2 linked regions of the Canis lupus familiaris genome follow. The protein of the gene in region 1 purifies or fractionates together with the protein of each later gene. This does not show direct contact. Links are inferred from orthologs where the notes say so. Each region holds a gene or a part of one and is shown in the gene's direction. Other genes may lie near its edges.

What was found. Proteins that work in one complex are often made in the same cells at the same time.
Region 2: the proteins of BIRC2 (region 1) and HTRA2 purify together in Homo sapiens (affinity purification with mass spectrometry; 4 studies listed by BioGRID and IntAct, counting the BioPlex papers as one, with this or other methods). This does not show direct contact. The link is inferred for Canis lupus familiaris from reciprocal best matches to the Homo sapiens genes BIRC2 and HTRA2.

The regions. Positions count from the first base shown.
Region 1 is NC_049226.1:29,451,235-29,455,403, reverse strand, and holds the start of BIRC2 (baculoviral IAP repeat-containing protein 2), read left to right. Parts: upstream 1-1,327; 5' UTR 1,328-1,335; coding exon 1,336-2,167; intron 2,168-2,258; coding exon 2,259-2,358; intron 2,359-4,169. Other genes in the region: proline-rich protein 2-like, read right to left, coding at 489-543. UniProt on the Homo sapiens protein: Multi-functional protein which regulates not only caspases and apoptosis, but also modulates inflammatory signaling and immunity, mitogenic kinase signaling, and cell proliferation, as well as cell invasion and metastasis.
Region 2 is NC_049238.1:49,111,604-49,115,759, reverse strand, and holds the start of HTRA2 (serine protease HTRA2, mitochondrial), read left to right. Parts: upstream 1-1,337; 5' UTR 1,338-1,340; coding exon 1,341-1,846; intron 1,847-1,949; coding exon 1,950-2,154; intron 2,155-2,242; coding exon 2,243-2,437; intron 2,438-2,678; coding exon 2,679-2,711; intron 2,712-2,949; coding exon 2,950-3,055; intron 3,056-3,202; coding exon 3,203-3,272; intron 3,273-3,957; coding exon 3,958-4,053; intron 4,054-4,156.

The DNA.
Region 1 (4,169 bases):
TGTGAGTTCTCTTTACTGTGAAAATACAGTTTTCTAAAACAGCTTTTGTTTTTCTCTTTTCAGATTAACAGAGGGTCCACTTTGAAGAGTCCACTTTTTCCCCTCTGATTTCTTTCCTCGGCAGAAATAAACCCCGTTATGGAGAACCAGAAGCTTTCTAAAGGGATATAGCTTGAATTTTATGGAGTGTAATTTTGTGTATGAATTATAAAGGATCAAGGGTTTTCATAAGGAAGGCGCTAGTAGGATTAATTACTGGTCCATTGTGTAGAGACAGGTTTATAATATATTGTTATACGTGTGTGATAACACTAGATAACACCAGAAAGAGTAAGCTGTGTCTTGATAAGTTGATTAATCTTTACAAAATGAATGATGTTATAGAAACATGATTTTTTAAGTGAAAGATAGGTTGTTTGATTTTTAAATGCAGTGTTAAAGTTCCTGTTGTGGAAATTTTATGGTTAAGTAGTTGATGGAGAAAATACCTTCAGTTGACCAAGTGTAGTTGATATGCAGAGTGAGGAAGAAACAAATCGTCATGCTGTAGGAAATGGAAACAAGTACAGACAAAGGTGGAAGAGTTAGCAGTTAGCTTTAAGCAAAATTCATATGACATCATACATGCTAAAACAGGCAAGGTTAGGTCTGGAAAGCTGGTGAGTGTTGATACCCTCACATAAATACTGTGGTGATAACCTATGTGAAATTAGCCTTTAGATATTGTGACCATATGAAGAGTTTAATTCTTGTTTGCTGGAATAAAGCCAAGAGTTTTAAAAATATATTGAGGTGCTTGGAAGAGACCTGTGTATACTTTTTCCCACTCGAAGCATAATTGTGATTGGCTTAATAAACAGGTTTTGGAACTTGTAACTAAAAACATATTAACGGTATAATTTAGGTACCTTATTTAGAATTTTGGGAACATCAACCTTCTGAAGAATCAGGCAGTTTTAACATATTTCCGTAAGTGTGCCAATATCTTCTCAGGTCTTTATGTTGATATTACACCAAATAATGAGCAGTTAGCACTTGTTACATAAGAGTTAATCTGAAATAGTGCTAAGTAGTATCCTGGTAATTTAATATCCTGGATTCCAGGTATTATCTCACCTCAGTGTAAACTCTGGCATAAATCCCATAAAGAAGGTGTAGTGAGTTTTACAGAAGTAGGAGCCTGTCATTTGATTCTTTTATATGATAAAAACTAATTTTTTGTGAAGATAGAAGTTTCATGTGAAGGTTTTTAGCCATCAAAAAGTAACATCACTCATGCACAAAACTACTTCCCAAAGACTTGTCCCAGGTTCATATCAGAGGATTAAGAGGACAATGGAGGATAGCACCATCTTACGAAACCAGACAATTGGCAACAAACAAAAAATAAAATATGACTTTTCGTGTGAACTCTATAGAATGTCTACATACTCCACATTCCCGGCGGGTGTTCCCGTCTCAGAGAGGAGCCTGGCCCGCGCAGGCTTCTATTACACGGGTGTGAATGACAAGGTCAAATGCTTCTGCTGTGGCCTGATGCTGGACAACTGGAAGCCTGGAGACAATCCTGTTGAAAAGCATAAACAGCTCTATCCAAGCTGTAGTTTTATTCACAGTCTGGTTTCTCTCACCAGCCGGGATTCCACCTCTAAGAACATTTCTGCAATGAGAAACAGTTTTACACATTCGATATCTCCCACTTTGGAACATGGCTCATTTAGTGGTTCTCATTCCAACCTCGCAGCAAACCCTGTGAGTTCCAGAGCAGGTGAAGACTTCTCCCCACTGAGCACTAACCCCTACAGTTACGCCATGAGCACCGAGGAAGCCAGATTTCTTACTTATCACATGTGGCCGCTAACCTTTCTGTCCCCGTCAGACTTGGCAAGGGCAGGCTTTTATTATATAGGACCTGGAGATAAGGTGGCCTGCTTTGCCTGCGGTGGGACCCTGAGTAACTGGGAACCAAAGGATGACGCGATGTCCGAACACCGGAGACATTTCCCCAACTGCCCGTTTTTGGAAAATTCTCTGGAGACCCTGAGATTTAGCATTTCAAATTTGAGCATGCAGACCCATGCGGCCCGGTTGAGAACTTTCGTGTACTGGCCATCTAGTGTCCCCGTGCGGCCTGAGCAGCTCGCAAGTGCTGGATTCTATTACGTGGGTAAGAAACTAAGGTGTAGTGTATGATTTATCAGGTTCGCTTTGTTGAACATATCAGAACATGTATTTCAGTTCAGTCTTGTTTTCTTTAGGTCGCAATGATGATGTCAAATGCTTTTGCTGTGACGGTGGACTGCGGTGTTGGGAGTCTGGAGATGACCCATGGGTGGAGCACGCCAAGTGGTTTCCCAGGTAATTGCTTTGAAAGGTATTTCCACACAAAACTGCTTTCCAAAAGTAGGTCTGCTTGCAGGGTTCATGTTTACATCTCTGTGTAGCAAAGATGCTTTTATGCCTGTGGGGACTTGGTCTTTTAAAACACCAAATCTGGGGCATCTGGCTGGCTCAGTCGGAGGAGATTGTGACTCTTGCTCTCGGGGTTGTGAGTTTGAACCCCACATTGGGTGTGGAGGTTATTCTTTAAGATAAAAACTGAAAAAAATACACTGAATTTTTATTTTGATAAAAATGTTTTAGTATTCTCTTTTCTTTTGTAAGCTGTGTATTCAGGATATAATTTAATTTATTTATTTTTAAGATTTATTTATTTGAGAGAGAGAGCACTAGATGGGGCGGGGACAAGCAGACTTGATGTGGAGCTGGATCTCAGGACCCCGAGATCGTGACCTGATCACAGTCAGATACTTAACTGACTGAGCCACCCAGGTGCCCCTAATTTAATTTATTGATATTCATTTACAATTATGGCCATATGTTTTATCTGTAGGGTTCCCCTTTTGCCTTAAAGAAATTGTAAGGATTACAAAGGTGTGTAAAATAACATGAAAGAGCAGCCCGGGTAGCTCGGCGGTTTAGTGCCCCCTTCAGCCCAGGGTGTGATCTTGCAGACCGGGATCGGGTCTCAGGTCAGGCTCCCTGCATTGAGCCTGCTCTTCCCTCTGCCTGTGTCTCTGCCTCTCTCTCTCTGTCTCTCTCTCTCTCTCTGTCTGTCTCGCATGAATAAATAAATAAATCTTAAAAAGAAAAAAGTACATTGGAAAAAAGGGAAGAGGAGAAAAAGCGACATAAAATGATCTAGGAAAAGGCAAATACAAAAATGCATATAATGAAAGCTGATTAAGTCTGATTATAATTATGTTATTTTTTCTGTACAGTTAATCTTGTGATTGTCACTCATCTTTTCTTAGTCACTGTGTCTCTAGCAGTAGGTCCTGTTTTCCACTGTACCCCACAAAGAATTGAGAGGCAGTATTGTTTGTGGAAGTAGAATTAGAAATTCATTTTTGAGAAGCTTTGTGAACTTGGACATGTCGTGTGACCCATTTGAAACTCTGTCCTCCTTTGTATAGTGAGGGGGTTAGACTAGGTAATTTTTTAAATTGTGGTAAAAAATACCTAACAAAATTTACCGTTTTAACCATTTTTAAATTTCTCCTTCTGTATGTACTTCTCTGCATTCACATTGTTCCTCAGTCATCACCACCAGACTTTCCTGTCATCCCAAGCATAGCTTGTACTCCTCACATGGCTCCCCGTCACCCCCACAGCCATGGTTCTTCTGCATTTCACCAGGTGCCTCATAGGAGTGCAGTTGAGCAGGACAATGTCCTGACCTGAGTGCCTTTCATAAGAATGAGGAATCTCTTGAACACCTTCAGGAAATTAAAACATCCTTTTGTCTTTTTTTTTTTTTATGATTTAAGATAAAGGAACTTGAAGTAAGAACTATTTTGAGTCAGTACATTGTTAAAAGTTGTGTTTTGGAACGCCTGGGTGGCTCAGCGGTTGAGCATCTGCCTTTGGCTCAGGGCGTGGTCCTGGGGTCCTGGGATTGAGTCCCACCCACATCAGGCTCCCTGCATGGATCCTGCTTTTCCCTCTACCTGTGTCTCTGCCTTTCTCTCTCTCTCTCTCTCTCTCTCTCTCTTTCTCTCTGTCTCTCATGAATAAATAAATAAAATCTTTAAAAAAAAAAGTTGGGTTTTAAAATTTTATCTTTAATATTCATAACCTAACACGGTAAAATCTGACGTTCTAATTCT
Region 2 (4,156 bases), on another chromosome or scaffold:
GGTAGGGCTGAAAATTGTGAAAAATCAAGGGCCCCCAAGCCTGACCACCTACCCAGCTGGAGACCGATACCTGTGCTCACCCACCTGAAGCGCAGGAGCCCCTCCCGGCCATTGGTGGCCTCTTCCTCAGGGAATAGCAGCAGAGGGGTGGGGGGAAGCCTCGTGGAAGCACAGAATCTCTTGAGTGACTCCACCAACTCCCCCCGCCCATCCATCTCCATGAAGCCCCGAGACCAGCACACAAAACTTGGGGGACTATTGAGTAGAGGCTGGGAATAGAGAAGAGAGAAAGCAAGAAAAGAATATTGGGAAGTGAGAAAAACTGACATCTAGGGTACAGAAGCGGGATTGGGGGTAAGCCTCAGTATTTCCCAGTGGTCCCCAAGGGAAACCCGGGCGGGCTAAGGGGAGCCTCCAGCTGGGCCCCAGGGAACCGCCCCGTAGAGCTCTCGGCTTTGCCCCCCACTCACGGTGCTACAGCTGGTGAGCAAGTTGACTATGTTATGGTCGAAAGGTGTCACGTGGTTGGAAATGAGGACCCTGACGCGGTGATCCCGGAGTCCGGAGTTCTCCTGCCGGGCCACGAGCCCCAGCACCGCACACATGGTCCGCACCACGAACCTGGGGACGCGGGCAGTGGTGACTCCACGGCCTCCGGCCGGGCCCAGCCCAGCCCTCCCCGGGACCCCCAGGCCGTTACCTGCGAAGGACACTGTCCGGTAGAGCGCAGCTGACCAGGAAGACGTGGATCCCAAGAAAGAGGCGCAGGACAAGGAGGCAGAACCCGACGGGAGCATAGAGCAGCAGCGCGAGGAGCAGGAAGCCGTCACCCGGGAGCCTGGGGGCGAAAGGCGGGGTGATCGGGCGCCGGAGGCCGAGTGCACGCGGGAGCCGGCCTCTTCCCGCCAGGGCTCTTACCGGTGAGAGTCGAAGAGCCGCTCCGGCCCCAGCGCCGGGGAAGGATCCATCGCGGGGGCTTTAGAGCTCTCCGGCCGCCGCCGCCATCTTCGCGCCCGGCCGCAGGGGCTCCTGGGAAGGCGGAGTCTTCGGGCATCCGCCCAGGGTGCGGGCACCCGAAATCTTGAGGCGCCCCGGAAGGGCTAGCGGTCCCAGCATGCCTCGCGGCCCTTGGGCCACCTAGGAACTCGCGTCCCGCGGGGACCACAATTCCCGGCATTCCTGGGGCGGGGGCGGAGTCGGCCTCCCGGAATCCTGGGTCCCGGCGTGCACTTCTGGAGGACTTCAGGTCCCGGCGTGCCCCGCGTCCCTCCGTCCGCCACCTCGCGTCCAGGGCGCCGCCTCTGTGTAGGGCGGGCGAGGAGGCAGTCGAGGCGGAGCTGATGGCTGCACTGAGGGCGGGGCGGGGTGCAGCCTGGAACCTCCGGGGATGGCGGGCTTTGGGGGGGGTTCACTCGGGGAAGGGACCCCTGCTGACCCCTGACCTCCGGGCCTTGCTGACGTCAGGAATTCCTGACCCCCGGGCCCGAGTGACTTATGGGACCCCCAGCCTCCGGGCCCGGTGGTCTGTGGGGGTCCCTGAACCACGGACGTGTCTGACGTCGAGGACTTCGGATTCCCGAGCATGGCTGGCTGTAGGGACCCCAGATCCCAGGACCCAGGAGGGCTCAGGGACCCCTGGAACCCGTCCGCGTATATGGCTGGCGGTGGCGCTGGGCGCTGGGGGGGCAGTGCTGTTGTTACTGTGGGGCGGGGGTCGGGGTCCCCCAGCGGTCCTCGCCTCGGTCCTTGGCTCGCCGCCCAGCTCTCCCCGGAGCCAGTACAACTTCATCGCAGACGTGGTGGAGAAGACAGCACCTGCCGTGGTTTATATCGAGATCTTGGGCCGGTAACGGTGGGGAAGGCAGGAGGCACCAAGCCGCGGGCTAGAGGGCGGAGGAGCCGGGGTGTGAGCCTCCCTGCATCCTTGCTTCTCACCCCCACCCCTCCAGGCACCCTTTCTCCGGCCGCGAAGTCCCTATCTCGAATGGCTCAGGATTCGTGGTGGCTGCCGACGGGCTCATCGTAACCAACGCTCATGTGGTGGCAGATCGGCGCCGGGTCCGTGTGAGGCTGCTCAGCGGCGACACATATGAGGCCGTGGTCACAGCTGTGGATCCTGTGGCAGACATTGCGACGCTAAGGATTCAGACTAAGGTGGGGGCTGAGCAGGCTGGGTCTGGTTGGGGCTGTGAATTTGCTCACATCTTCAGATGACAGGTCTCTTATACCCATTCTCTCTCAGGAGCCTCTCCCCACACTACCCCTGGGACGCTCAGCTGATGTCCGGCAAGGGGAGTTTGTTGTTGCCATGGGAAGTCCCTTTGCACTGCAGAACACGATCACTTCTGGCATTGTCAGCTCTGCTCAGCGTCCAGCCAGAGACCTGGGCCTCCCCCAAACCAATGTGGAATACATCCAGACTGATGCAGCTATTGATGTGCGTTCTGATATAAGAGAAATGACAAACTAGGTTGGGGGTTGGGGGAAAGGCTGTGTGGTACAGGCACCAACTGTTGATAGATGGCGGATGAGCCTGTATACAGAGGTTGGGCTGCAAATATGTGGCCACTCAGGTTGGGCTGGGAAAGGAGAGAATTTGGAAAAAGTGCCTACATCCTGGTCATGCCTCCAGGCATAGAGTTCCTGGATCTCTTCCATATTTTCTCCTTGTCCTGCAGTTTGGAAACTCTGGAGGTCCACTGGTTAACCTGGTGAGTGGGACATCCTTCTTTCCAAGAATCCCTGCCCCAGGTCAGTGTGAGAATGGGTGTGCTTCCTCTAATTCAACGATGTTTGGTCAAGTTTCTAAGCAGCCTCCTGTTGGCTATCTCCCAAAATCCAACCAGGTCTCCCCAGCCTGCTCCCTCATTCTCCCTGCTACTCTTGTTCAGGTATCCCCTCCTCCTACTATGTTTCTGGGCTAGGGATTAGTGGGCTCTGTTCCTGCAGGATGGGGAGGTGATTGGAGTGAATACCATGAAGGTCACAGCTGGAATCTCCTTTGCCATCCCTTCTGATCGCCTTCGAGAGTTTCTGCATCGTGGGGAAAAGAAGAGTGAGCCTGGCTTAGGGGGGAAGAAATTACTTTGAGTGGTGGGAAGGGCATTCATTGTGCTTTACTGGAGAGGGGTTGTCTACTGGGAGGAAAGGGAGGGGAAGGAAGGATGTAACTGGGTGGGGCTCATTTGTCCCTCTATCACAGATTCCTGGTTTGGAATCAGTGGGTCCCAGCGCCGCTACATTGGAGTGATGATGCTGACCCTGACTCCCAGGTACGAGCTTTGGGGGTAGTGACCTGTAGGACCACCAGTATATTCAGTGGTGGGCAAGTGGCACTTCTGTTGGGCTTTGTTCTCAGTTTTATCTTTATCTAAGATAAGTTGCCCCACACTAGGAGCTATCAGAAGAGCTATTCTCATGATCTTGACTTTCTCACTCCAATCCCTCTTGTACACCTGCTACCAGATTGATTTCATCCTGTTACTGCTTTGGTTTAAAAACTTCAATCCATTAGCCCGGTGCTTAGAGGCCATTTTCCATTTGTCTCCAATTTAACCTTTTAGATCTGGCTTCTTACAAGAATATATTCTGTTCCAGCTGACCTGGATTTCCTACTCCTATGGTTTTATTTATATTGCTCTTGTTTTATATAGTTAAATACCAGAACCATTTTATGCTCAGCTTATGTTCTACTCTCTCAAAGTTTCTCTTAGAATTCTAGAATGACATTAGTGCTATTGATTTAATATGATGTATCACTTGGAATGAGTTACCTTTTATACACATGTCCCACTTCCTAACTTTGAAAAGGCAGAAAGTGAATTGCCTTTGTATCCGGAGTATCTAGTGCATGCCCTTGTCCATGCAGTTGTCGGTGTGTTGATGAGAGATTTGAGGTGAACCCAAGATGGGGAGAGTGCCTTGGTGCTGTTAACAGAGTGATCTGTGTCCTTTTAGCATCCTTGCTGAACTACAGCTTCGAGAACCAAGCTTTCCTGATGTTCAGCATGGTGTACTCATCCATAAGGTCATCCTGGACTCCCCTGCACATCGGTGAGGAAGAGACTGCATTGTGAGGTGGGGATGGGTGACGTATGCATGTGCCCTTGAACCGGGCTGTCTATCCCCTCCTTTCTCTTTCTGTCTGTCTTTCACC